Sus scrofa: one gene and its partner. The protein of the gene in region 1 purifies or fractionates together with the protein of each later gene. This does not show direct contact. Links are inferred from orthologs where the notes say so. Each region holds a gene or a part of one and is shown on either strand. Other genes may lie near its edges.

Region 1 (15,159 bases):
GCTTCATGGTGGGTAAAGTGGGTTTTTTTGCGTTGCTCCATGACTTGGGTAGGCCTTTTGCAATATCTTCTATTGACAGTAACACGTCGTCGGCTGCATACAGCCACTGTTCCATCCCACTGTCACTGCTCTGCCCCTTTCCGTAGCTGGGTCCAGAAGCCCAAGGGTATGCTTTTATTATTTTGCTGATGCCACAGGCCCCAACTAAGCCTTTCCGGGTCACTGGCCACATCCAATTCACAAGCTTGTCCCTGAGTTAATAACCCAGAGCCTGTGCCTGTAACAGTTTAGGGGTGGTGGGTCAGGGGTAGGCTTGTATTTTATAGATAAATCCAGGTCCTGCATTTTGTCTGTGTTCCCCAGCCACCCCTGTGCACTCAGATGAACCATGAGGGCGGGTCTGATACTTCCAAACAGGAAAGAGAGGCTCTGAGGTTAACAGATACCATCAATATACTGGAAGAGACCTCTCTCGTGGTCGTCAGCTGCCACCGGGCAGACAGCCACCCTGGGGTCTGGCTCGCAACTTTCTGTTTTCCGTCCTTCTTTCCTGACGTTTTGGCCCTCATGGGGGTTTCCTTGGACCCTGGCTGGCTCCCCAGTTGTTGGGCTGCACCCCAAAGGCCTGCAAGCCTTATTGCCCAGCCTTGAGGAAACTGAGGAAAGAGACCAGAGATGGTGACAGAGATGGAGGTCTTAGACGTTCACGGCAAAAGGTCCCAGTGATGTCAGGTTGGCTCATGAGTTACCAGGGAGACCAGCGGCTGCGGTGCATCCCTCACAGGCCCTCCGATAAACGACCATCAGGAGAGCAGGTGTTTCCCTTTAATAAACTAGCAGGTGGAGCTGCTCTGGCCTAAAGTCGAGAACAATCACTAGCTGGGGCAGGGCGCAAGCACGTTCATGTGAGTGGGATGCAGGCGAAGCCAGGCCTGGTCCAGCAGGGATGTACCGAGAACAAGAGGACAGCCATCTTGAGTGGCCTGGCCACACCCCTGTCTTCCTATCTCCACCTCCTAGGGATCTGCTGGGCCATCTCCTTTTCAAAGGAAACAAGAATACAAGCATTCTGATGGAAGTAGATGGAAATGCAGGTGCTATGGGGAGGCCCTGGGAAAGAGGCACTTCCCCCAAATTGGGGTGCATGCCTCCTTCAGACAGACAACCATCGTTTTTCTAGTCGCCAAACTCCACCGTCCTCCTCGAACCCTGTGGACCGGCTGATCCCTCCCTCTCCATGGTGAGTCGCTTACCTCCAGACTCCCCCACTCTCACAGCACCCCTTCACCTGCTTCTGAACCTGAGGACACCACCGCTTTAGCGTGCCACTCTTCTGTTCCCGAACCTGACAGGTTATCCAGTACCTTGTCCCAGCACTTCCTGTGACAATGGCTTCGGGGGCTGCTCGGTGCACTATCCATACATGTCTCTCACTTGTCTCCCCTGAACCTTTGCTCACACGCCCCCCGCTGCCCCCTATTTCTATCGTCTTTGCTCTGCCTGCTCATCCCTACTCACCCATCAAATCCCCACTCCAGCTCCTGCTTCTCGTTTAACCAGTCCTGGCAACTCAGCCCACAGCAATCTTTCCTTCTGGAGGATTCCTAAAGCACTTGGAATCTATAAGCTCATACACCTCATATGATGACCTATTGCTTTAAAAAAAATGGTAGTCTGTAAAATAACAAAGTGTCCCGTGTCCCCTTCACCCAGTTTCTTCCACTGGTGACTTTTTTTTTTTGGCGTTTCAGGGCTGCACCTGAGGCATATGGAAGTTCCCAGGCTAGAGGTCGAATTGGAGCTGCAGTTGTTGGCTTATGCCACACCCACAGCAACGCTGGATCTGAGTTGAGTCTGTGACCTGCACCGCAGCTCAAGGCAACGCCAGATCCTTAACCCACTGAGCAAGGCCAGGGATAGAACCTGCATCCTCATGGATACTACTCAGGTTCTTAACCCGCTGAGTCATAACAGGAACTCCCCAATGGCGACGTCTTATAAAGCACTAGTACAATATCAAATCCAGGAATTTGACAACATGCACTACTGTTGACTAAAGATTTTACTTGGTTTTCACCACCTTGTTTAACCTGCATTCATGCACGAGTGTGTGTCTGTGTGTGCACGCAGGCGCCTGTGCATGTAGCTCTATGCAATTTTATCCCACGTACACATGTGTGTAATTGCCACCACAGTCAAGGTACAGAACTGTGCCGTCAACACAAAAGAGCTCCTCTGTGCTACCTCTTTGTATCTGCGCCACCCTTCCCGTGTCCCGGTCCCTGGCAACCACTGATCTGTTCTCCATCTCCATGGTTTTGTCATGTCAAGAATGTTATATAAATAGAATCACACAGGATGTAACCTTTCAGAACTGACTTTCTTTCACTAAGCATAATGCCCCTGAGGTTCATGGAGCTGTCATGAATGGTTCCGTTTGTTACTGCTTAGTATCCCCCTGCCTGGCTATGCCAGCCCAACAATGCACCTGCTGAAGGATGTTTAGGTTTTCAATATTTTGTTATTATGAATGATGCAGCCATGAACATTCATGTACAGAGTTTAAAAATTATTCTTAAGAACTGTGGTAAAATATACACAACAAAATTGGCCCTTTTAACCTTTTTTTTTTTTTTTTTTTTTTTTGGTCTTTTCAGGGCCACATCCGAGGCATATGGAGGTTTCCAGGCTAGGGGTCGGATTGGAGCTACAGCCGCCAGCCTACACCACAGCCACAGCAACACAGGATCCGAGCCACATCTGCGACCTACACCACAGCTCCCAGTTACACCAGATCCTTAACCCACTGAGCAAGGCCAGGGTTCGAACCTGCGTCCTCATGGATACTAGTCAAGTTTATTACCACTGAGCCAGGACGGGAACTCCCCTTGTAACCATTTTAAGTGTACAGTTCAGTGACATTAAGTGCCTTCAGGCTGTTGTATAACCATCACCAGCGTTCAGCTCTAGAACTTTTTTCATCTTGCAAAACTGAAATTCTGTATTAATACCCATCCTTCCCCAGCCCAACAGCCTCCATTCACTTAATGTCTCTGTGAATTTGACTAAGCACCTCATGCGAGTGGAATCATACAGATTTGTCTTTTTGTGACTGGCTTAGTTCCCTTAGAATAACATCTTCAAGTTTCCCCCATGCTGTAGCATGTGTCAGAGTTTCTTTTCTTTTTTTTTTTTTTGACTGTGCCCATGGCATGTGGAAGTTCCTGGGTCAGGGACCAAACCCGTGCCACAGCAGTGACGTGAGCCACTGCAGTCAATTTCCTTTCTTTTTAAGGCTGAATATTATTCCACTGTATGTACATAGCACATTTGGCTTATTTTTCACCACTGATGGACACTTGGGTGTTCACCTTTTGACTGTTGTGAATAATCCTGCTGTGGACACGTGTACAAACATCTGTTCAAGTCTCTGCTTTCAATCCTTTTGGATATATACCTGGAAGTGGAATTGCTGGATCATATGATAATTCTATTTTTAATGTGGGGGAGAACTGTCATACTGTTGTCCACAGCAGCTACTTGTATGCAGGTTTTTTTTTTGTCTTTTTGTCATTTCTTGGGCTGCTCCCGCGGCATATGGAGGTTCCCAGGCTAGGGGTTGAATCAGAGCTGTAGCCACCAGCCTACGCCACAGCCACAGCAACGGAGGGTCCACGCCGCGTCTGCGACCTACACCACAGCTCACGGCAACACCGGATCCTTAACCCACTGAGCAAGGCCAGGGATCGAACCCGCAACCTCATGGTTCCTAGTTGGATTCGATAACCACTGCGCCACGACGGAAACTCCGTATGCAGGTTTTTGTTGAACGTAAGTTTTCATTTCCCTGGGTAAATGCCTGAGATGGCAATGGCTGGGTCATATGATAAATGAATGTTTAGTTTTGTAAGAAACTGCCAACTTTTTTTTTTTTTTTGGCTACACTCATGGTACATGGAAGTTCCCAGGCCAGGAATGTGAGCCACAGCTGTGACCCACGCCACAGCTGTGGCAATGCCAGATCCCCAAACTGCTGTACCACAGCAGAAACTCCTGCCAACTATTTTCCAGAATGGCTGTACCATTTTATATTTTCACTATCAGTCCAGTTTCTCTGCATCCTCTCAAACATTTGGTATTATTACTACTTTAAAATTTTTGTCTGTTCTAGGAGTTCCCGTTGTGGTACAGTGGAAACAAGTCTGACTAGGAACCATGAGGTTGCGGGTTTGATCCCTGGCTTCACTTGGTGCATTAAGGATCCCGCATTGCTGTGGCTGTGGTGCAGGCCAGCAGCTGTAGCTCCGATTAGACCCCAAGCCTGGGAACCTCCATATGCTGCAGGTGCAGCCCTACAAAGCAAAAAATAAAAAAATAAAAAATTTTATCTCTTCTAATAAGTATGCAGAGATATCACATTGCATTTTTTATTTGCATTTCCCTAATGGCTAGTGGTGTTAAACATCTTTTCATATTCTTGTTTGGCACCTGCAACTCCTCTTGGTGAAATACATATTCATGTCTTTTGCCTATATTATAAAGGGTTTTTTTCCAAATGAGAAATAGAGTGATCACTATTATACTCCAGTATGATACCACATGGAATTTTAGCATTAGAGTTGCCAGATCTGGTGTTTTTTTTTTTTCAATAAGAAGTCAAATGCTTGAATTTTTAAAATTAATTGGCACGAGATCCTGCTATATATAGCACAGGGAACTGTATCTGGTCACTTGTGATGGAACATGATGGAGGATAATGTGAGGAAAAGAATATGTATAGATATGTATGACTGGGTCATTTGGCTGTGCAGTAAAAATTAACAGAACACTGTAAATCAACTATAACAGGAAATAAAAGTCATATAAAAATAAAATTAATTGGCAACTAATTAAAAATGTTAAGACACAGGAGGGTGAGGTGTGAGAAAAGGATGTGGAGATGGAGGATCAAGCGCCTCAGTTTTAAAAAAAGCCTCCATAGGAGTCCCCACTGTGGTGCAGTGGAAACGAATCTCACTAGGAACCATGAGGTTGGGGGTTTGATCCCCGGCCTTGCTCAGTGGGTTAAGGATCCGGTGTTGCTGTGAGCTGTGGTGTAGGTCACCGATGCAGCTTGGATCTGGTGTTGCTGTGGCTGTGGTGTAGGCCGGCAGCTGCAGCTCCAATTGGACTCCTAGCCTGGGAACCTCCATATGCCGTGGGTGCGGCCCTAAAAGGTCAAAATAAATAAATAAATAAATAAATAAAAATACAAAAAATAAAAAAGCCTCCATATTTGTCAAGTTGGCCATCCTTGGCTTCTGCCAGTTGGGCTGTAAAAAAAGACAAGGACAGAGGCTGGGGACTAGGTCAGATGTCACCTGTCACCCCAAACGGGCCAGAGCGCAAACATGAGACACTCTGGTGATGAGTAACTGAACTGGGCTGAAAACCAGAACACATGGAAGACACTGCTTGCTCTTCAACCAGCCATACCCTTGGGCAAGTCACCCTACCTTCCATTAAGGTCATTCCATAAGAATGACCTCCCTGGAAGAAGAGGGAATTCTGCCAGCATACGGCCTTCAGACTTGACATCAACAATGGTTCTTGCCTGGATCACCAGCCTGCTGGCCCACTCTGCAGACTGAGGACTTGGCAGCCTCCTTCCTGAACTTCGGTGCCTATTCTTAGGATAAATCTCTTTTTATAAACACATCCTATTGGTTCTGTTTCTCTGGAGAACTCTGATTTTGGTTGAGTAGAAACAGAATTCTCTGAGCTATTTCAAACATTTAAAAAGCCTTAGAACCCTATGTATCTAGTCATCCCTGATAATTATACAGATTAACTAAAAACCTAGGTCTGCTTAGTCAAAGCAATCCTGAGAAAGAAAAATGGGGCTGGAGGAGTCAGGCTCCCTGACTCCAGACTACTACAAAGCTACAGTCATCAAAATAGTACGGTACTGGCACAAAAAAACAGAAATACAGATCAGTGGAACAGGATAGGAAGCCCAGAATTAGGAGTTCCCTTTGTGGCTCAGTGACAACAAACCCGACTAGTATCCATGAGGATACAGGTTCAATCCTGGCCCTGCTTGGGGGGTTAAGGATCTGGGGGTTAAAGACCTAAATATAAGACTGGATATTGTAAAACTCCTAGAGGAAAACATAGGCCCACGACTTTCTGACATAAACTATAGCAATATCTTCTCAGATCCACCTCCTGGAGTAATGACAGTAAAAAAAAATAAATAAACAAATGGGACTAATTAAACTTAAAAGGTTTTTGCACAACAAAGGAAACCCTAAACCAAATGAAGACAACTCACAGAATGGGAGAAAATTTCTGCAAATGAAGTGACTGACAAGGGATTAAGCTCCAAAGTATATAAACACCTCCTGCAGCTTAATACCAAAAAAAAAAAAAAAAAAAAGAAAGAAAAAGCCATCAAAAAACGGGCAGAAGATCTAAACAGACAATTTTCCAAAGAAGACTTAGAGATGGCCAAAAATCACATGAAAAGATGTTCAACATCACTATTAGAGAAAGGCAAATCAAAACTACTATGGGGGGGAGTGGTTTCTCAGGGCTACCTGAGATGCTGTCTCTTGGGCTTAAGTCCTAATTTTGTCTCAAATAAAATTTAATTCTCAACTTTCAAAAACAAACAAACAAAAAAACCTGCTATGAGGGAGTTCCCGTCGTGGCTCAGTGGTTAACAAATCCAACTAGGAACCATGAGGTTTCGGGTTCAATCCCTTACCTTGCTCAGTGGGTTAAGGATCCAGCATTGCCGTGAGCTGTGGTGTAGGTCGCAGACACAGCTCAGATCTGGCATAGCTGTAGCTGTGGTGTAGGCTGGCAGCTACAGCTCCGATTAGACCCCTAGCCTGGGAACCCCCATATGCTGCGGGAGCGGCCCTAGAAAAGGCAAAAAGACAAAAAACCAAAAAACAAAAAAAAACCCACACTATGAGGGGAGTTCCTATCGTGGCTCAGCGGAAACAAATCTGACTAGTATCCATGAGAACACAGGTTCGATCCCTGGCCTTGCTCAGTGGGTTAAGGATCCAGCGTTGCCGTGAGCTATGGTGTAAGTGGAAGACACGGCTCAGATCTGGCATTGCTGTGGCTTTGGCGTAGGCCAGTGGCTACAGCTCTGATCCAGCCCCTCGCCAGGGAACTTCCATATGCCATGAGAACGGCCCTAAAAAGCAACAACAACAAAAAGGCTACAAACAATAAATGCTGGAGAGGGTGCGGAGCAAAGGGAAAAGAGAACCCTTTTAGTCTGTTGGTGGGTGTGTAAAGTGGTGCAACCACTATGGAAAATAGCATGGAGAGTCCTCAAAAAACTAACAATAGAATTACCATATGATCAAGCAATCCCACATCAGAGAAAACCATGATTTAAAAAGATACATGTACCCCAATGTACACTGCAGCACTATATACAACAGCCAAGACACAGAAGCAACCTAAATGTCCATCCCTCTGTTGATGGAGTGGATAAAGAAGATGTGGTACATATACCCAATGGAATATTACTCAGCCATAGAAACGAATGGAATGACGGCATTTGCAGCAACATGCATGGACCTGGAAATTATCATGTTAAGTGAAGGTAGTCAGACAGTGAGACACAAACATCATAGCTATCACTTATAGGTGGAATCTAAAAAAGGATATTATGAACTTATTTGCAGAACAGAAACTGACTCAGACTTTGAAAGACTTACGGGGACCAGAGGAGACAGGTTGGGGGGGGGGGATACGCTGGGGGTTTGGGATGGCAATGTAAAATTAGGCTGTGACAGATTCTTTATAAGCCTAGCACCTCCTCACAGTCAGGGCTGGTGCCATCTTGAGCTCAGCCACCCTCTGACGCCTTAATAAACGCTTTTGCTTTACAAATAAATAAATAAAATTAGGCTGTAATTATGGTTGCACAACTATAAATACAATGAAATTCATTGAATAAAAATAAAGCAGGTCTGCTATCTTCTCTTGCTGTTCTTGGTTTTTGCTGAAGCTTCAGATCTGTCATTAATATCAGTCACTGTGTCACTTCTGATTTGGCTAAACTGTGGAAGGAGCCTGGCTGGAGCAGTGGTTAACGGCACAGGCTTTGTAAAATCAGACTTGGGGCACTGCCCTTTATGAGCTGTGTGACTTTCAGCAATTTACACCACCTTTCACTTCTCTGAGTGTGTTTCCTCATCCATAAATTAGGGATGACAACCAACCACAGGAATATAAGTATTATGTCTTAGTTGTCCTTAAATTTCTGAAAATTTACAGAAAGTTATTGGCCAAGGTGCAACATGAGTGGTTATTAACATAACTTCCAAAATATGCTGTTTGAAGGAAGGGAAAACAGTAAAAAGTGAGCTGTTAAGCCCCAGGTCAGGAGATCAGTGACATCGAAAATGAGCCTTAATCAGTGATGTCAAGGAATTTCCAGCTCGGACAAAGGTAAACCCTGACCCAGGGCCCCAAATCAGTTAATGCCTCCCAGCTCCGCCTTCACCACGCCCACACTTAGCCCCACCCCACACCCACCCAAGACCCGCCCACACACTTAGCCCCGCCCGCAGCCCGACTCCCGCTCCCGCTCCGACCCCCGCCCGCGGCCGGCGCTCACCTGGATCTCATGACAGGCGGAGGCCGCCCGCCGACCCTCCGCTTGCTTCTCCTCAATGAGGCCCAGCCCCAGCCCGAAGGCCAGAAAGACAGCCCGGCCGCAAGGGCCCGCGCCGCCCCGGGCCCGCACTACGAACTGTCGCTGGAGCCGCGCCGCCAGCCCGGCCACTGACTGGCGGAAGAAGCGGTAGCGGCCGGGGAGCCCGAGCGCGAGCCTGCGCGGCTCCGCTCCGGGTCCCGCGGCAGGGCCAGGGCGCTCTCCGCGGCCCCAGCCCGCCGCTGGGCCCGGGCGTTCGGGCCGCCCCCAGGCATAGGTCGGGCCAGGCTTGGCTGTGAAGCGCAGCAGCAGCGCTCGGCCTAGCTGCAGGCCCCGGCCCAGAGCCTGTCGCACCACCATGGTGCCGCGGCTGGGTCTCCTCCGAGCCGCAGGAGGCCGGGACGCCTGTCACAACAACAAACTTCGGGTCGGCGCCTTTGCGCAGGCGCGGGCGCCAATGGGCGGGGCCGCCTCTCTGGCTGTTTCTCCGCTGTGCGCGCACGAGGGCGCTGTTCGCGCATCTGCGCGGCGGGTAGTTTCTTGCTCTTGCACCCAGGATCTAAAGATTGCATTGTCAGGGAGATCCTGTCAACATCCTTGGTTCTGGGCAAAATCGAGAAATTGAGAAGAGAAATGAATAATTATTACCCCTTACCGACGGTGCCAGAATCTACGTTTGTTAATTTTCCTACCAATGAGATAGGAAGGTCGTTTTTATAGATAAGAAAACTGAGGAAAAAGAAAAAAACAGGGCAGTGACAGTCCAAGGTCATATGCAGTATCAGAGCTGAGGTTAAAGTTTGCATTGCCCTGATTGCTGAGTCCTTGCCCCTGATGCCCTTCCACTCGTCTCAACAAGCCCACAGGCCCCGGAGAGAAATCTCACCCTTAGGCCACTTTTTTCAGATTAGTGAACAGAGTCCCTGAGATGTGGATCAACTCACAAAGTCACACAGCATGTTGGTGGTAGAGCCTTGTTACCCAAAGCTGCTGTTGGAATGGCTGATAAGGAATTTGTACTGAGTGATTTTTCTTTCTTTCTCTTGCCTTTTTTAAAAAGAGAATTTACAAATACAATAATGGAAAACTATAGTGAACCCCATGTACCCAATTATCCAGTTTCAACAATTATCAACAAATAGTCATTATTTAGTCACCTGTGCATATCTTCCTACTTTCCATTCTCCCATCTTTAAAGCAAATCCCATATATCATATCATTTCATTTATAAATACTTAAATATCTATTGAGAGAGAACTATTTTTTTACAAAACATAAATGATATTGTCACCTCTAAAAATATTACCATTAACTTCACAATATCATTTACTATCCAATCAATATTCAGATTTCCCTGTTGTTTTATTTTACAGTTGTTCAAATTGGGATCCAGACAAGATCTACATGATTTATTTGGTCAGTGGGTTATTCTTTAACAAGGAACCAAGCCTTCCCCAGGCTAAGGAGGTATATTTTGTGGTGCTGCCATTTAAAAAAACGTTCCTGTAATCATGAGTACCTCCAATCTCCTTACCCTTAAGGCTGGTTGTGGGTAAGAGGCCCTGGAAGAGATGTTAAAATGTTTTTGAAGGTATGGCCATGTGTCACAGATGACCTTCAGGGCAAGGGGACCTTCGTCTAGCCTGAGACCCACCTCAGCATTTCTTGAATAGAAAGACACAGTCTAACCTATTTATTTCAGGACTCATTTGCGACCTTTAGCACAGCCCTGTTTCTGGGCTGTAAAGTTGTAAGAAAGAATGAGAGTAAATAGGAATAAAAACAAGGCAACTGCAGAAAGATCCACTTTGAATTGGTGAAATTTTTTTTTTTTTTGGTCTTTTTGTCTTTTCTAGGGCTGCACCCGAACCACATGGAGGTTCCCAGGATCAGGGTCTAATCTAAGCTGTAGCTGCTGGTCTACGCCACTGCCAAAGCAACGTGGAATCTGAACCGAGTGTGCGACCTACACCCAGCTCATGGCAGCACCCGATCCTTAATCCACTGAGCAAGGCCAGGGATCGAACCCACAACCTCATGGTTCCTAGTCAGATTCGTTAACCACTGAGCCACGATGGAAACTCCAGTGAGTTTAAACATGTCAAAACCAGTATAGGAATACTTCCTAGTGACTCAACATTTTGAGGATCCGGCGCTGTCACTGCTGTGGCGTGGGTTTGATCCCTGGCCCGGGGAAAGTTGCATGCTGTGGGTGTAGCCAAAAAAGAAAAAGAAAGAAACCAGTATATACATTGAATGAGAAGCTGGTAATGTTACTCCTAGGTATAGACCCCTAGAAAAGCATATGTAATTTACCCGAGAATGTTTATAGCAAGACTATTCCACATAGTGTAAAACTGGAAACAACTCAAATGGCCATCTCTATAGTAGACTGGAAAATTGTGGTATATTCACCCAATGGAATACTAAACAGCCATGAGAGTGTCTACAACTATAGAGTCCTGGGACGTTGTTTCCTGATCCGTTTATGTGATGAAAATTCTCCTAAAAGTACATTTTGATTTGTGCATTTTTCTGTGTGTAGTATTTAGGTAAACATTTTACTTAATGCTTTTTTAACATAATGAAAGCCTTTCTGAAAAATTCAGGGAGTTCCCATTGTGGCTCAGTGGTAACGAACAGGACTAGGATCCCTGAGGATGTGAGTTTCCATCCCTGGCCTCTCACATTTGGTTAAGGATCCGGTGTTGCTCTGAGCTGTGGTGTAGATCACAGATGCAGCTCAGATCTGGTGTTGTGGCTGTGGCATAGGCTGGCAGCTATAGCTCTGATTCAACCCCTAGCCTGAGAACTTCCATATGCCGTGGGTGTGGTGCTAAAAAAAAAAAGAAAAGAAAAATTCAGTCTATTTTATCACCAGGGAACCCTCCCCACTGGTAACCACTAGTTTGTTTTCTGTATCTGTGAGTTCTGTTTCTTTTTTGTTATATTCACTAGTTTGCTTTATTTTTTAGATTCCACATAAAAATGAGATCTTAGAGGAGTTCCCATCGTGGTTCAGCGGAAATGAATCCAACTAGGAACCATGATATTTCGGGTTTGATCTCTTGTCTCGCTCAGTGGGTTAAGGATCTGGTCTTTCAGTGAGCTGTGGTGCAATTCACAGACTCGGCTTGGATCTGGCATTGCTGTTGCTTTGGTGTGTAGGCCAGCGGCTACAGCTCCGATTTGACCCCTAGCCTGGGAACCTCCATGTGCCTCGGGTATGGCCCTAAAAAGCAAAAAAAAAAAAAAAAAAAAAGAGAGAGAGGTCATAGAGTATTTGTCTTTCTCTGATTCATTTCGCCTAGCATAATAGCCTTCAAGTCCATCCATGTTGTTGTAAATGGCAAAATTTCATTAATTTTTTTTTTACAGCGGAGTAGTACTGCATTGTGTGTGTCTATTTATATATATGTGTGTGTATATATACACATATACCACATCTTCTTTATCCTTTCATATATCGATGGACACTTAGGGGGATTGAGGTACAAACTATTTTGTATAAAATGAATAATCACAGGAGTTCCTGTCATGTCTCAGTGGTTAACGAATCCGACTAGGAACCATGAGGTTGTGGGTTCAGTCCCTGCCCTTGCTCAGTGGGTTAACGATCTGGCGTTGCTGTGAGTTGTGGTGTAGGTCGCAGACACGGCTCAGATCCTGCATTGCTGTGACTCTGGTGTAGGCCGGTGGCCACAGCTCGGATTGGACCCCTAGCCTGGGAACCTACATTTGCTGAGGGAGCAGCCCAAGAAATGGCAGAAAGACCAAAATAAATAAATAAAATAAATAAGCACAAAGTATATAGTGTATAACAGAGTTAATATAGCCAATAGTTTGTAATAATTATAAATGGAGTATAACCTTTAAAATTTGTGAGTCACTGTTGTACACCTTACCATATATTATATTGTAATCATACTTCAGTAAAATTCTTTTTTTTTTTTTTTTGTCTTTTTGCCATTTCTTGGGCTGCTCCCGTGGCATATGGAGGTTCCCAGGATAGGGGTCGAATCGGAGCTGTAGCCATCAGCCTACACCACAGCTAGGGGTTCAATAATATTGTTTAAAAATAGATACAAAGAAAGAAACAGTGGAACAAACTAAAAACAATAAAATAAAGGATTTTGGATACACACTTACCCCAAAAAAGTTCTATCTAACTCATTCATGGTCTCAATTTTTTTGAAAAATGAACTTTGTTTGAATAGTGTGTGAAAGTTCACAGAGTTTAATCATCTTTGAATTTCGTGGTTTCAAACAATAAAAGCATTTTAATAGGGGAGTTCCCATCATGGCGCAGTGGTTAACGAATCTGACTAGGAACCATGAGGTTGCGGGTTCGTCCCTGCCCTTGCTCAGTGGGTTAACGATCTGGCGTTGTCTCGAGCTGTGGTGTAGGTTGCAGACGCGGCTCAGATCCTGCGTTGCTGTGGCTCTGGCGGCTACAGCTCCAACTAGACTCCTAACCTGAGAACCTCCACATGCCGTGGGAGTGGCCCAAGAAATGGCAAAAAGAAAAAAACAAAAACAAAAAAACATTTTAATGCGAGCTTCGTTGTATCACAGACGTTGAGTTGAACTTTGCTTTGCACATGTCTCAGCCAGCCTGTTCCTGAATGAACAGACGATGGCACTTTCCACTGTTTAGGACCAACCGACATTAGGGAGCATCTTCACTTTAATTCTTCTGATGTCGGTGTGATGGAAAAGCCAGGACATCAAAAGAGAACAAGCAAAAGGCTCCACCTCCCTTCCTTCCTGCTTAAATATGAAATTAAGGGACATGTTAATAGTAGCTGTTGCTGGAGGGATCTTCAACCATCTGAAGGGTTCTGGCCCCAGGCATGCTTGGCCATGAGGTGGACCCCTGGCTAGGGACAGGTGGCCAACTGTTTCAGCAGTGTGTGTATCCTGATCTCTCCTGTGGGAGAGAAAAAGCATGGCCCTCGTCACATGCAATTTATTTGGAAGAGACATAGATTAATAGATGAGTTTCTCTCCAATTTCTTTATAGGGGCACATGGATATCAGATATTATCCTTTTTTTTTTTTTTTGGATCAGTTTCAGAGAATTTTAAATTACAATTTAAAAATGCTCCATTGAAACTGCCCTTTGGAGAAAGGTAAGGAAGAGAAGGTGGGGGAAACTTCACACTCCAGGGACCACAGGCTCACCCACGGAAGCTTAGTCAGCTGGGGCAAAGGTCTTATTTAAAGTTTAAATCTACCCATCTGCTGTGTGTCATTATCATTTCAGCTCTTTCATGTTTACTGAGAAGGAACAAGAGGTTCTCTGATATTTAATATTTTAACTAAAAGGATTTGCTTTACCCTCCTAGGAATGTAACCTTTTACCAGGAGGCTTGTGATGACCATGCAGCTTGTGAGCGGTGCTCGCTCAAAGGACGGCGCATCGGTTTTTTGGGTTAAAGAATGCGCTTGTTATCAGCCTTGGATTTGTTCCGCTATGCTGCAGATAAACTCGCTGGACCTGTGATGCTTAGCTTCCCCACCTGCAGAATGAAATCTCCAGACTGATGTTAATTAACCCTGTCTGGTGGACCGTGCTATTTCTTGTTCAGCCGAGAGCACTGGACTCTTTCACTTCTCCTTCTGTAGAAAAATCTAAGTGCTGAAGCAGACCCAGCATGAAGCTCGATTCTTCAGCAGACCTCTGTCATGGAAAGGGCAAGCAGGTGAATGTCTACACAGAGAAGCTCCCAGCAGAGATCACAGACTTCTGTGTTCTCCCTTCCCAGGGCAGAGATCCAGCCTGACTGTGCAGGGCACAGGGCCTGCCTTTTGTAGGGATCAGGGCCCCGATTCCATTGTCCCCCTCTGTTCTCCTGAGAAGAAGTCTTCCCATGGTGGCGCCATGGCTCAGGTCTCCAGGGAATCATCCTGACGTTCTCCTAACATCTGTCTCTTTAGTGGTGTCTCACGCAGGTGAAGTCAGGAATACAGTATATGACTTTCCGCCAAGCTATCTTTTTACTGCAGATTTAATATTCTACGAGTCTCATTCATTCAGAGAATATTAAACCAAGCAGGTTTATTTATGTAGCAAGCAGGCTTTGATATGCTCAGGCACAGAGGTTGGAGGAGAATGGAGAGGGGTGCCAGAGAGACCAGAGGATTCTTCTCTAACACACATTCTGCTCTGGGGGCATCCTGGCTCTTTTTTTTTTTTTTTTTCTTTTTTAAGGCCATACAAGCGGCATCATCGGATGCTGTAGCTGCTGGCCTACGCCACAGCCACAGCCACACAGGATCTGACCTATACCACAGCTCACAGCCACACCAGATCCTTAACGCATTGATCAAGACCAGGAATCGAACCTATGTCTTCATGGTTGCTAGTCAGATTCGTTAACCACTGAGCCATGATGGGAACTCCATCCTGGGTGTTCCTTGTTCTCTTTTCCCTCCAGGCAGCAAGACTGCATAGTTCTGATAAAGGGCATAATATTCCTAAGAAGCATCAT
Region 2 (15,029 bases), on another chromosome or scaffold:
AGGGATTCCAGATTGGTTTCTGGATAAAGAAAACAGGCCCCCAGTGAGTAAAAGCGAAATGTTTAAAAAGACCAGAAACTACTTGGTCCAAGGAATGAGGACTTCTGTTTGTGATTGTTTAAAGCACTATTCCTGTGATAATTCTAAAGACTGTCACCTATTTTAAAACCTAGGGGACCGACACCACTCGGGATAGTCAATGAGATGGACAGCTTCACTGTCTCCTCCATCAGGAGGAAGAAAAATGGATTTCAATTTACCTGAAAGTACAGAATGTAAGACAGCACTGGGGTTTGAAAATTGTGGCTGGGAGTTCCCACTGTGGCTCAGTGTGTTAAGAACCTGACATAGTGTGCATGAGGATGCGGGTTCCTTCCCTGCCCTCGCTCAGTTGGTTAAGGATCCAGCATTGCTGCTAGCTGCAGTGTAGGTAGCAGCTGTGGCTCAGATCTGGTGTTTGCTGTGGCTTAGGCCTGTAGCTGCAGCTCTGATTCAACCCCTAGCATACTTTCCATTTGCTGCAGGTACAGCCATTAAAAAAAAAAAAAAAAAAAAAAAGGAAAATAAAGAAAAAAAAAAGAAAATTATGGCTGTCTTACAAAATGTTCTCTTGTGGGGTATTTTTCAGGTATCATTTAAAAAATGAGTGCTTTATAAACAGAACAGTTACAAGCTGCTAAAATTTTTCATATAGGACAACCAAATGCTTACCCCTCAGGTTCAGGGAAGAAAAATTTGGAAGAGGCAGAGAAATCCTACAAAGAGACAAAGAAAAACAGTAAAATTTTTGGAAGACAACAAGGAACAAATGTATATGTTTGTTTTCATCAAATAGGAAAATCGACTCATAAATTCACAGGTGAATGATTTGCTTCAGAAGCATTAACCCATGTTTGATCTCATTAGGACACTTAAATATTTTACTCCAAGCCTTTTTCTCCAAGGGGCTGGCAGTATTCTAGAGTGGAGGGATTCTAGAGTGACTGTTGGTTTTCACAGCATCATAGGTTCAAATCCCAGCTCTGAGAGTGGATTAACTGACTAGGACCAAGGCATAACTCACTCTCTCTAAACTGAAGGCTCCTCATCTGTACAAAGTGGCAAGGAGCTACCTTGAGGAAAGGTTGTAAAGTTTGAATGAGATAATGCATAGAAAGCGAGAAGCTTGATGCAAATGGCAGCCAGGAATTCACTCCCACCCACCCCCGGTCCCCACCTGCTCTCTTCTCCTTCCAGCAGCTTCCTGTAGGTGGCAATCTCAATGTCGAGAGCCATCTTGACATTCAGCAGGTCTTGGTATTCACGAAGGTGACGGGCCATCTCTTCCTTCATGTTCTGAATCTCATCCTGCAGGCGGCCAATAGTGTCTTGGTAGTTAGCAGCTTCCACGGCAAAGTTCTCTTCCATTTCCCGCATCTGGCGTTCCAGAGACTCGTTCTGCAGATGAGAAAGGCTGCCAGTGTTATTTCCCCAGGGGCATAAAAAAACCAGCCATTCCCTCAACCATTTCTAGACCATGTGCAAATGGGACCCCGGCAGCAAATGGGAAATACTCCAATTTTAGGCAGAAAATCTAAGTACCAAATCCTCTTCCTAGCGGAAGCCATAATGTATGTAAACTAAAACCTCTGGATTTCCAAATTCTTTTCATTTTTTATTTATTTACTTTTTGGCTGTGCCCGTGGCATAGAGAAGTTCCCAGGCCAGGGACTGAACCCAAGCCATGGCAGTGACAATGCAGGATCCTTAACCTGCTGAGCCACCAGGGAACTCCCTCCATATATATATATTTTGGCCATGCCTGTGGTATATGGAAGTTCCCGGGCCAGGAAGCAAACCCTTGCCACAGCAGAGACCTGAGCTGCTGCAATGACCATGCTAGATCCTTAACCCTCTGAGCCCATACAGGAAGTCCCCAAATTCTTTTAAAATCTGTCTTGATGACTCATTTTCTTTAGATTACAGTGTAAGTGTTTCTTCCTGTGAATGACATTTTCTTCCACAGCACCCTTGGCTTGGCTACAGGAATGGACCCAAGCTGGTGATCTGCCCCCTTTTCTCGCCAGGTGATACTCACGGTCCCCTTGAGCGCATCCACTTCACAGGTGAGAGACTGCACCTGTCTCCGGTACTCATTTGACTCCTGCTTGGCCTGGCGCAGGGCATCGTTGTTGCGGTTAGCAGCCTCGGAGAGGTCGGCAAACTGTCGGGAAGAAAAGCAGAAACCCTGGTCACCCAGGAGCTTCAGCCAACAGATCCTCTCAGAGACTTCCTGGCCTGGACAGATGAGAAAGCTTCAAGGTGGCAGACAGACAGCTACAAAAATAAGGCCCGATACCAACCCAATTTTTTACACATCGTTCATATCTCAGCGCCTTCCAAGAATCTGTCTCCATGTCTGTTTGGGACACCGGAGCAAAGGAGGTGGAAAGCTGATGTCGAGATTTTCAAGCAGAAATTCACTGTTTCCCTCCTCGTCAAAGGGCGGAGGTTAAGGGCATAGTATTGGGGTTTACTTGGATGTAGGGGGACAGAGGGGCAGTGCAAAGAGAGTCTGTTCTTCTAAGGGAGGGGGCATGAGTGATGGGAGGATATAGTAAGAAGTAAAACTTGAACAAGAGGTAAAGCCAGCTCAACGTGGGAGCTAAGAGGTATTTAGGAATCACAGCCAGGTGCAGCGTTTTTCAGAACAAAATGCTTTTCTTTGGTTCTGGCCACTCTTGCCCGCTTCATACCTTGGACTTGTACCACTCCTCCGCCTCCTGAAGGTTCTTGGCGGCCACGCTCTCATACTGCTGGCGGACATCACGCAGGGCAGCCGTGAGGTCAGGCTTGGAAACATCCATATCGATTTGGACGTGCTGTTCCTGGATCTGAGCCTGCAGCTCCTGGATTTCCTGAAGAAGGAAAAGACAGAAGGTCGGCCGTGCCCAGTGTGGGTGCAGCTTCACCCACCTCCATCCACCACCCAGGCTCGCCTCTGACCTCATCGTGCAGTTTCTTCAAAAAGGCAATCTCTTCTTGCAAGGATTCCACTTTGCGCTCCAGGTCAAGACGTGCCAAAGAAGCATTGTCGACATCCTGTTTGGAAAAGAGAAAAAGGTAAGATGCGGACGAGGATGCTAATGTCTATGGGCTTCTCCCATTTAGTCTTTTTAAATATCTTTGCACTTACATCTCTGCTGTGAAAAGGGTGTTGACAGATACTGTGACCTTCAAATAAGTTTGGAAATCTCCTAAATACCATGCTAACAGATTTGAAGGGTGACCCACTGAGTTGTACTCAAGGTAGCTAATAACAGACAATTTAAAAATAAATGAGTGTATGCCAACATGGTAAACTCCCCTCAATTTCGTATCAGTGTATTGTATCAGTGAAGGTTTTTAATTACTTTTTTTTTAATCTAGAAAATCAATGCTATGGCATTGTCAAGTTTTTTAAGGGGTAACATCATGGAATATAATAGGACAATGGGAGTTGATCAGATGTCACCTTTTTTTTTTAATGGCTGCACCCATGGCGTATGGAAGTTCCTGGGCCAGGGACTGAATCTGAACTGCAGCTGTGGCAGTGCCAGATCCTTTAACCCATTGTATCAGGTCGGGGATGGAACCTGAGCCTCTACAGCGACCCAAGCTGCTGTAGTCAGCTTCTTTACCCACTGCACCACAGAGGGAACTCCAGATTTCACAACTTATGTATACATGAGTATATAAGAAGTTTCAGCAGATAATACTTAAGTTCTTTTTTTTTCCCCCTCTACTTATATCTTCTGAAACGTATCCTTAAGATCCAAAGCAAGCTTATAGTCATCTGGCATTCAAACTGCAAGGCTCAATTTATACTTCAGTTCAGGATGTATACTGGCAAAAATGCAGTTCAGGAAACTGAAGCAAAGAAATGTCACTCTGAACTGTATTTGCTTTGCTTTTTCTGGTAGATTTTTCTATAGAAACTCACCCCTCTCATCTCAGAAGGGCGTGTCTATCCTTTTCACTTAGCACCGGTGTCAGTTCTCTTACTAAGCTTGTTTCAGAATGACTGGTCAAAATGCATACAGTGTAACTGTATGTAAAATTCTTGCTCCTCTCGTCTGCTTCTGTGTTTCCACCACTTGTAAACTGCTACATCCTTGGAAGATTTTATTTCCCCCTGGCAAGGGAATGTCATCAGGATTTTTATGCCTCTTATCTTGTAAGCAATTATATTTGAAGCATGGTTTACAGCCTGACAGTTTTAAAATGTTGACCTACTTCTATCATCTTCGTGGAAAAGTGAATAAGGAATAGATGATTGTAAAAAGATCCAGCTTGGGGAAAAAATTCATTTTTACTTGTTAAGCCCTACGAAAGATGTACAGGAAAATTTACTACTCTTCATTTAAAAGAAAGAAAAAAAAAAGGTCAGTCCTTCATTCTACTACTTTGAATAGAACATGAGTGGTTTTACCTAATCCCTAAGTAGGAGGGACAAGTTATACTAATACTGTTTTATATTAAGTTCCTACTCAGCAGAAAACATTGCAGATATGGTGATCAGAAATGCTTCATGACTTAGAATACACCACATATTTGTGTTTAAATTAATTTGGCAAATGTACTTCGGCTTCAAAATATTACTCGACTGTTCATCTGAGGAAGCTTTTATAACCAATCCCAGTAAGTGTTCAGGAGAATGAAATTATGCTGGGAACACTCCCTGCTTTGGGATTCCAGATGAAGTTAAAAATCCTTGAAGGCCTCCTATCTTTGAAGCAAGAAAACCCTTTACTGAAAATTCCATTCTTCGTTCTCAGGTTTCTTCTTTCTTTATGGAAAAAATATTAAAGAACACAAGGATCCAATAAAGAAAGACCTTTCCAAATGTGGGGTATTACGACTGTAGCTTTAAGGACTTTCCACGTCTAGCACTTCACGAGTCTGAGCCAGATATTAGATAACGGATGTTAGCAAATACTTGTGTCCAATTAGAACTCTGCTTACATCATTACATACTCAATAAGAATGTAGCCTGTTGCAAAGAGTCTCTGGGAACACAAAGACTCCTATTATTCCTGTCCAGAGCCACCACACTTGCCAGAATGTCTGTATCTACATTCCATAGTGAAGCCCATAGAAACCATTAATACCTTTCAGCCAAGGGGACAGATGGCTCCTTTTCACCCTTATTAGATCACAAAATAGTTGTGCACACGGATACTTCCATCTAACCTTAGGCCACAATAGAACTTGCATGGAAGAAAAGAAACTTGCTGGCTTAAGTCCAGTTAAACCAAGTTTCTAATTCTCCAATACATTGTACACTTGAAACTAACGGGGCAGAACTCCGCTTTGTGTGGCCCTGTAAAAGTTAGCTAGCTTGACTTTGGCAAACCGAAGTCTGAATCAAACTGTAACTGTTCGAGATCAGAGTATCAGTGTGTTGCAGAACCGAAACGGGAAAAAAAAAGTCATGTCTTGGGGGAAAAAAATCTTGAAACAAAGTCAAAAAGACTTTATTCACGTCCTATGGAAGGAACGGTTTAATCGTTCGAGGGTTTTTAAGGCGGAGAAGCTCCCAACTGTGGTCTTTCTGCCACTAGGGGGCTTGGCGAGCAGACGAGAAGTTTTGCACGATTTAGACTTGGGTTAAGTAACTTTGAGAACTGCCCGTAGGTTGGGTGGGTGGGGTCGGGTGGCTGCAAGTGGGAAGAGAATCTACAAACCTGTCTGAAAGACTGCAAAGTGCTCTCGGCTTCCTCCCTCTGAAGCGTCTCCTCCTGCAACCTGAAAGAGATGCACATCAACCGAAGGGGAACTGGGAAACCGCCAGGGGCGTGGCGACCACACCCAACCACCACGTCTTCGCCGCGAGACAGCCGAGTTGCTGCGCCACCTCTGTGGCAGTCGGCGACTATGGCTTTTAGAACTGCTGCCTTTGGCAAATCTCAAAGGGACCCTGGCCGCTGCGTAAAAAGCAATCGCAGTTGCTACAATGACCTGGGAGGCGAATGCCACCACCCCACTCCCCCGTGAAGATTCTGCAATCCCTTTGTCTCGCTTCCTACACCGCTCCTGGGGAAAGAGCAGCCCGTCAGAGGGGACCAGGAAACTTTCTCAAAGTTTGGGGGAATCGCACTGATCGTTTGCAGGAGCCTTCGAGTAACAACAAAGTGGTAGTTTTAAGAAATCTGAATTTTGGTCGTTCTTGGGCAATGAGTCGGGGTAGAGGGTAAATGCTAACTTGCAAGATCTGGGTTCAGGGCAGGGCTGCGCCGCAGCAGCCACAGCGCTCTCCCCCCGCCCACCGCGTACCCCAGGCAGCCACCGCCCCAGCCACATCCCCAAGGGCGTGTTAGCTTCGGTTCCCCTCTGCCGCCCTCCTGAAGCCCCGCGGGCGCTTAGTCTTACTTCTCCCGCAGCCGCATGATGTCCTCGGCCAGATTGTCGCGCTCCACCTCGACGCGGGCCTTGTCGTTGGTGAGCTGGTCCACCTGCCGGCGCAGCTCTCGCATCTCCTCCTCGTAGAGGTCCCCCAGGCGCGACTTGCCCTGGCCCTTGAGTTGCTCGAGCTCGGCTAGCAGAATCTTGTTCTGCTGCTCCAGGAAGCGCACCTTGTCGATGTAGTTGGCGAAGCGGTCATTCAGCTCCTGCAGCTCCACCTTCTCGTTGGTGCGGGTGTTCTTGAACTCGGTGTTGATGGCGTCGGCCAGCGAGAAGTCCACCGCGTCCTGCAGCAGCCGCACGCCGGGCACACTGCTCCGCAGGCGCACGGCCGAGGAGCGCGTGGCGTACACGCCGCCCGGGGACGAGGTGTAGAGGCTGCGGCTGGTGCTGGGACGCAGCGCGCTGCCCAGGCTGTAGGTACGGGTGGACGTGGTCACGTAGCTCCGGCTGGAGCTCGGCCGGCTAGCGGTGCCAGGGCCGCCGAACATTCTGCGGTAGGAGGACGAGGACACGGTCCTGGTGGACATGGCTGCAGAGGTGGCAGTGGGCTGGGCGGCTGCGGTGGCGCGGACTGGCTCCGGGAGGAGAGGCGAGCGAGGGAGCGGTGGGTGTGGGCAAAGGGAGCGCTGCTGCGTCTCTGGCGCGGGGACCCCGGAGCAAGAGTGGCAGAGGACGGGACCCCGCCGAGGGCGCAGTTTTTATAACCGCCTTAGGATGGAGCGTTCCCTCCCACTGCCATCCCGGCGGCGGAGTGCGCCAGCCAATGGGGACCCGGCGAGAGGCGGGAAGGCTGGCCTGGGGTTTGGGGCGGGGGAGCCCGGGAGCCTCCCTCCTCCCCCCTCCTCCGCAACCGGGACTATGCTCAGTCCCCCAGTAACTTGGAGGCTGAACTGGAACTTTTGGGGCTTTCCTGAGGATGGCCTGAGGTGTGCTCACCTCTGGGTGATGAAAAAGGCTGGGTCCCGCGGTGATGGGGGAGCCCTCCCTAGACTGAACCACAAGGGTCCCGGGCACCCAGCCAGCTAGGGAGGCGTAGGAGGAAGCGTGCGGGTGGGAGGGGCGCGCGGCCCCTTGGCTGCGGTCGCCTGGAAGCGCGAGGGTGGGGGGGCCCCGCGGGTAAAGGAGCCGGAAGAGAGGAGTGAGGGATCCAGCAGATCGGAAGGCGTGGAGAAAGAAACAAAGAGGGCCTGAGATTGGAGCGCGAGGTGGGGGCGCGCACAGCCCGGGGCGCAGGGCTCTGGGCTCTGCGCAGCCTTGCGCACGCCTGCTTGGACAGCGGGACCAATCCGGCCCCAACTTTCCTCGTCCTCCTGTAGTAGGAGTTCCTGTTCAGGGACCTAACCGGCTGGGCCCGGCTTTGGACAAGGAGCTGCAAGGAAGTGGCCAAGGAAAGCCCAGGGGAGATGGGTGGGGTCGCTGAGTCACCACTGGCAGTGAGTCACTGCGCTCTGCTGTCCCGCCACCGAGGTTGAGGAGTCCTAGCGGTTCAGGAAAACCGTTAGACGAGATTGACTTTCGTCTCCCCGGGCCACTGTGCGAGTACTGTTGGTTCTAAGTTTTACCCAACTTCGAGCTGGGCTCTGCTTTCTTATGTGCCGTTCGCTGGTTTGGAGTCTAGAGCGCTCCTAAATTCTTAGGAACGCGCCCAATCCAGATTTTGCTCCAATATGCTGGCTTCTCTTTAGTAAGAAACTTCCGCGGAGGCTCTGTAACCGCCAAACGCCGGTCTCCGGCCTCACAAAGGCACTTGGGGAGGGTTTTTCTTGCAAAGTTTCCTCCCGCCTCCCCTCCGGTCTCCTCTCCGCCTTCCTCCACCCCCTCCCCCCGTAAAACCGCACCCGACTTTTAACAAGATCTGAACGTTTCTGGGTGAAAGAGGAAACTCTGTAGTTGCAAAATCCAATTGAGTGATCACTGCTTTTTCTGCTGTAGTGAGAGACATTAAAGATATAATCTACACCAATTATAGAATTAAGTAGATGTTGCTTTAAATGTTTAATTTGATTAATAAAAGGCAGTTATGTAACTCAAGGGACTGAATGTTTGAGACTAGATTTATGTGTTCATTTTAGTTCACGCATGATGCACAGCGCAGGATTCTGGTGACTTGTCTGAGAAATGTCACAGGTCCCTTAGCCTATTTTCCAGAAGAATTCCTGCAATTCATCTTGGAGTGAGGGGGATAAAGCTGTCTACAGAAGGAGAAAACTTTTGGTCCAGGGCACAAGGGCGTGTTCAGATTCCAACCTGAAAATCTTTCTAGGTAAATCACTCAACTGAAGGGGTTTTGTTGGGAATGAGTAAAGCGCAGAACAGAGAAGAGAGTCTGTCAGTGATTTCGTAGCAATTTAAAAATCACAGGTTTTCGTCGTTATTGTTGTGGTGTTTCAGTGTTTAGAAGAGTTGAGTATTGAACGGATTAACTCCAAAATCACTGCAAAAGTAGAAACATCTTGATTCAGTGGTGGATGTGGAGGGAGATAAAATTCTTCCCTCTGCTTTTGTGTTTTTGTTTTGGAAAGGGGGGCCCTGAAGGTTGCCTGGCATTTAAGAAAAAATAGTTCAGAACCAAATGAAGGGTTTATTTTCACTTCTTTGTACAAGCCTCTTTTAGGCAGTGTTTTGTTTACCTCCTTTCAGTTCGTTCTGGCCGGTGGGGCTGCCAAGGTCGCGCTGCAGGACCCCTTGCTGTACCGCTCCCCCGCTGTGGATTGCCTTAATTCTCTCCCCGCTCTGCGGGTCCCTCCCGAGGCGCATTCCTGGGGTGTGGCGTCCTAGCGGGCCCACTTATGCTCTGAGAGCCCTTTATGCGAGCTCCGCTCTGCAAATGTCACTATTGTGAGTTTGCCTGGAACCCTTCGGATGAGAAAAAGCCGTTTCCCTCTGGGGAAAGGGAGGGTGGACCTTCCTCCCACCTAAAATGCTGATCCCAGGACAATGCGCTGGTGCTGTCAGGGGACGCTTGCTGACTGAGTCACCACGGGGAAATGAGGGCAAGGCTCTGGTGCGGTGTGGCAGGGTGCCCTGTTGGTGACCAAAGCACATTCCTCAGGTCTGTGGGTGACTCCCTCTGGGGGGGACGCTGGGGCCTCATCATCATCTCGGGGGGTATCCCTTCTCCTTTGCAACCTGTCCCCAAGCTGTATCCTTAGGATGGGTGTGTGTGTGCTTGCTGTCTCAGCTCAGGCTGCTACAACAAATTGCCATAGGCTGGGTGGCTTAAGCACCAAACATTTATTTCTCCCAGCTGTGGGGGCAGGAAGTCCAAGATCAAGGTGCCAGCTGACCTGGGGTCTGCTGAGAGTCTGTTTGGTAGTTTGCAGGTGGCCACCTTTTGCTGTGTCCTCATGTGGCAAAAAAGAGGGCAAAAGCTCTGATCACTTCCTTTTCTTATAAGGACACTAATCCTGTCCTAAGGGCCCCACCCTCATGACCTCAACTAAAACCTAATTACCTTCCAAAGGCCCCACCTATAAGTGTCAGCATATTGGAGATTAGGGCTCTAATGTATAGATTGTAGGGATAGACACCAGCATTCAATCCGTAGTACTTGCCATACAGCGCGCACATGCACACACACACACACACACACACACACACATGCACACACATGAACATACACCCGAGAACATACACACACACGAACATGCACACACAACACGTACATGCACAGACACAAAGATATGCAGATCTGGTGTGTCTTTTCCTATTAGAAACTGTCATAGCTTGGGGTAGACTGTAGCGCATAGAAAAGTGAAGGTTACAAAAACACATTTACTCATTCATGTAGAATGCATGAGACTTTGGAAAGAATTTGTTTCATTCTGATACATTAGGCACTGCCCAGCTGGGTGCCTCAACCAAGAGAGGTTAGTCATCAATGAACAAAATCAATACATCTGAACTCCCATCCTTGAGCAGCCCTGCTCTCTGCGTGCCACATGTTCTTAGCTACCTTTTGGAAATAAACATAGACAGAGCTTTCTTGGTTTTCATATTTATTTTTTGATCGCTGTGAAAACCTATCTCTGGAGTATTTTTGAACGCTGGGCTCTGAAGCATCTTTAAGCACCACATGCTGCAAGTTGTGTATAAATAAGGACACGGTGTGACCATTTGTAGGCCAGGCGTAAACATTACCAAATCTAAAGTACTAACAGTGATTTTGGAATTTGCAAGCTGTGGTGATGTCAGTTGAATTGGGCGATTGGAACTGACGGACCAGCCAGCCATGTGGAGAGGGGCTTAGTGGCCTGTGGAGGCTTTAGGGGAGCTGGCTGGCAAGAGGTTGTGCCAAGAGGACAGCTTCTAGCTGGATCGCCTGGATGGAATGTTAGCAATGAGAAGGTGGATAAAGTGAGAGTGTGAAAGTCACGGTAAAATCTGAAAACTGTGATATAAAAGATGATCATGATCAGTAATACAGCAAGTGCTTGAATTTTTGTGCCTACTGGATGAATGACATGAATTTTGTATTTTTTTTTTTTTTTTTTTTTTTTTTTTTTTTTTAGGGCTGCACCTTTGGCATGTGGAAATTCCCAGGTTAGGGGTCAAATCAGAGCTACACTGCAGCCATGGTTACATGGGATCTGAGCATCATCTAAGACCTATACTGGAACTTGTAGCACCTCTGAATCCTTAACTCACTGAGTGAGGCCAGGGACCAAACCTGCATCCTCATGGATACCGGCTGGGTTCTTAACCCAATGAGCCTTAGTGGGAACTCCTGTATATATTTATTGTAACTGCATGAGAGGCTGGCCTCCTGCGAGATAGTTTAGATCATCTCTTTTAAAGACTAGGCAATTGAGACACAGGCCAAAAATCTGCTTGTGACCATATAATCATCAGTGGAGGGACGAAGGGGGCAAGCATTTGACCTGAGCCCTTTTGATTCCAAATATACCTGAAATTTTGCTTGCTATTCACCAGTATAATTCAAAAATATTATTGAGGGGCAAACTGTGATTTAGGAGCTGAAGAGATAGGGTAACTAGGCAGATTACATTATGAAGGTGCAGACTCCTAAAGGAATTTGACAAATACTTGAGAGTATCATGTTTTATGTCACTCAAATGATGTAACAGTGATGCATAATAGATAAGAGGAGAGTTTGGTTTTCACATAACTCTAAAGCCTTACTTTGAGAATTCAAGAATTTCCACCTAGATTCCTTTCTGCCCTTTCAAAGGCATCCTATCCAAAGTCCTATTGGAAGTTGGGCTCAGCTCATCTCACACCCTAAAACCCCACCAACCATAGCAGCTTCCCCTCCTCACTTCCCTGTCTATTTAAGGTAACTTAGCCAACTATCAAGATTGGAAACTTTCATCATTTTTGCCACTTCCTTACCCTTGGATTGCTCAGACCCCATGGGTGTCCTGTCCATTGCTTTCTGCACCCACTCATCTGTTATGTTGCTGTGACTCACCTCGAAGCCATTTTCTGCCCCATCCGTGCAGTATTGCATTTGGCTTCCCTTCCTCCAGGCTCTGCTTACCCCCACCAATGTGTCTGACTTTCAGCCTAAACCTCTTTTTCCTTAGTAATTGCATGCCTAAAACTCCCTAAAGATCCAAAGTGGATCCCTCATTCCCTTGTTAGCTCCAGGAGGGTAGAGACTTTTCTCTTTCATTCCCTGTCCTATCTCCAGTGCCTACAGAGAAACCTAGCACATTTGCAGAATGTATGAACTACTGCATGAGTAGTTCATAAAAGGGGGAGGGAGGGAGGAAGGAAGGGAAGGTGGGAAGGAAGAAAGAAGGTAAGAAGGAAGGAAGAAAAGGAGGGCAGGAAAGAGGAGGCTAATATTTACTAGTGTCTATTCTGTTCAAGCCGTGTGCTAGTCATTTTACCCATTTGACGTCCTCTAATCTTTACAGCATCTTATGATGCACAGCTTTCATTAACTCACTCAAAACACGTGTATCAAATGTTTACCATGTTCCAGACACTCTGCTGACAGTGGGGAACCACGAATAAGGCAGGTATAATCCATGTACTCTTGGGACCTAGGGCTGAGTCTGTGTTTGACTGTGTGTGGTACAGAGGGATAGTACCTATGTAAAGGGACAAACCAAACAATTAAAATTTGTAATAAAGATGATGAAGGCAAGAGAAATTTTGCTTTAGAGGAAGTTGGGGGTCACATCACAACAGTGGCTTTTGAAAGCCAGGCTAAATATGGCTAGCCCTTCTCAGTCTCTGTTGCTCCCCACTGGACAGCAGTTTCATTGGGTCCCTAAGCTCCTCACTGTCCCAGTGAATATGCTTGTTTGCCCCACCTTCCTGTCTTTCTTCATAGTCCATTCAATGGACAGATGTACCTGTTTTCTACACTGCCTGCAATGCTTTCTAGTATGTCCAGATGAGTTAAGAAACTTTTCATGCCTCTAGGGAGCTCATAGCCTTGAAAAGGATTAGGAACCATGTAAAAAGGCTGTCATGCATAGCAGAGTGGGGTGAGTGGGTGCTCTGCTGGAGATGTGAAGGAAATGCCGAGGGGTTTAGATGGAGAAATGCTCATGCCCACTGTGGGAGGGGGAAAGATGAGAAAATGTGTTCAGCGAAGGTGGTATTTGAGGAATTTGGAGGAGTGAGTACCATTTCTGCAGCTTATCATGGCAGAGAAAGGATGCTCAAAGTTGATGAGACAGTATAAGCAAGAATAGTACAGGTATAGGAGTTCTGGGACATTTAAGTTATAGCAAGAATTCCAGTGTGGCTGATTATGGATCAGTTACAGGGGAGAAAGGAAATTGAAAGCTAATATGGGAGCTTGCGTTGGAGGACTAAATGCTAGGGAGAGGAGTTTATAATTAATGTGGTGGGCAGTGGGAATTCACTGCAATTTTCGATGAGGAGAAAGACAGGCTTGTAGCTGTGTTTTAGGAAGATTGTTCTAGCATGTTGGGGAGGATGAATTGGGAACACTGATCTGAAAGCTCTTTGCCACAGATCATGTGAATGAATGGCTTTAAAAGCCTGATCTTGGGGGCTACAGTGATGAAGATGAGAGTACTGTTAGACCATGAAGTTAGGGGACAAGCATGTCAAGGGCTCTGAGCTTTCTGGAGAGATTAACTAAGAGAGCTGATGCAATGTAAATGGGAAACAATTTTTTAGGTGGAACATTAACCTGAGTTGAAAGATAAATCATTCAACTTCATACCTGGAAATATCCTCCCTTCTTTTTTTATGAAGTAAAACCTTATGAAGTAGGTGGAGTATAATGTGAGTCCTGCAGTTTTGCTCCTTAGAAATCTCAGTCTGTTCACATAATTTTTGTTTCTTTTTATGGCTGCACCCGTGGCATATGGAAGTTCCCAGGCTAGAGGTCCAATCAGAGCTGCAGCTGCAGCCTGTGTCACAACCAGGGTAATACTGGATCCGAGCTGCATCTGACCTATGCATCAGCTTGCAGCAATGTCAGATCCTTAACCCACTGAGTGAGGCCAGGGATCGAATCTGCATCTCACAGAGACAACATAGAGTCCTTAACCCCCTGAGCCACAACAGGAACTCCTGTTTATGGAACTTAATACTGATTGCCTCAGATTGTTCCTTATGTGATTTAAATGTGTCAGTCTTGTTTCCTCAGTTGGTCCAAAATCAGGGATTTCTTCAGTATCCTCTAAATCAGTTTGGAAAACATGTTCATGCCCATCATTTCTGTGTCTCTAAAAAAAAAAAAAAAAAAAAAAAGGTTCAGAGACAAAGAAGCTTTAAGACAAACTTCTAGAATTTTCTTTGAACCTTTTTGGGGGGAAAGCAGATGATAGTTTCCCATAAAACTGTATCACAATAAAGGTATTGTGGAATTTGAGCTTCATATCAATTAAATAGACTTTTTTCCTATCACAAAATATGAAAACTGTTCTGTAACAATATTGTAAGTCATTCATCTGAACACTCTAGAGCTTTAGGAGATTAGACATATATATGTATATAATTTATAATTTCATCCAAGTCTAATGCACCATCTCTGACTAAGGAAAGAGAAGGTGGTGAGGATGGGAAGTAACATACAGTGGGAAACCTAGTGCAAAAAAACCCAATTCGGGTCGATGTTAGACAAAGACGTGAAGCTAGGTTCTCCGCATTGGTTCTCTTGATCCCCAAAGCAAGACCAGCCCAGCCCAGTCATAAAAGCTGGACCTTGTATGACAGAGAGCTAAGTGATACCATCCCGATTTAGTTATTGGCCGAGACGCTAAGAAAACAAGCACAGGTTTTGCCCTCTGTCTTATGATGTTGTTTTTACCATTTTCCAGGATAGAGGACAAAGTCATGCCAGTGCTAGAAAGTCTGCCAAGTGCTTTGGCATCCTGGGAATTTACTCCGCTTATTTTGAGGAGGTCATCAAGTTCCCAAGGGATAGACCTTTTATTTTTTTTTCAGAAGATATTTAGGTAATGGGTCTAATAATAATCACCTTGTTAAATAGCATTCTTTCCTCTGAAAGAACAGAATAATTTTTTTTTTTTTTGGTCTTTTTGCCTTTTCTAGGGCCGCTCCCACAGCATATGAAGGTTCCCAAGCTAGGGGTCTAATCCGAGCTGCAGCCACCAGCCTACACCACAGCCACAGCAACACCAGATCCG

The links.
Region 2: the proteins of PINK1 (region 1) and VIM purify together in Homo sapiens (affinity purification with mass spectrometry; 3 studies listed by BioGRID and IntAct, with this or other methods). This does not show direct contact. The link is inferred for Sus scrofa from reciprocal best matches to the Homo sapiens genes PINK1 and VIM.

Annotation. Positions count from the first base shown.
Region 1 is NC_010448.4:78,857,155-78,872,313, reverse strand, and holds the start of PINK1 (serine/threonine-protein kinase PINK1, mitochondrial), read right to left. Parts: upstream 9,120-15,159; 5' UTR 9,026-9,119; coding exon 8,630-9,025; intron 1-8,629. UniProt on the Homo sapiens protein: Serine/threonine-protein kinase which acts as a sensor of mitochondrial damage and protects against mitochondrial dysfunction during cellular stress.
Region 2 is NC_010452.4:43,509,564-43,524,592, reverse strand, and holds the start of VIM (vimentin), read right to left. Parts: upstream 8,153-15,029; 5' UTR 6,954-8,152; coding exon 6,391-6,953; intron 5,767-6,390; coding exon 5,706-5,766; intron 3,082-5,705; coding exon 2,986-3,081; intron 2,898-2,985; coding exon 2,736-2,897; intron 2,204-2,735; coding exon 2,078-2,203; intron 1,438-2,077; coding exon 1,217-1,437; intron 756-1,216; coding exon 712-755; intron 20-711; coding exon 1-19. UniProt on the Homo sapiens protein: Vimentins are class-III intermediate filaments found in various non-epithelial cells, especially mesenchymal cells. Vimentin is attached to the nucleus, endoplasmic reticulum, and mitochondria, either laterally or terminally.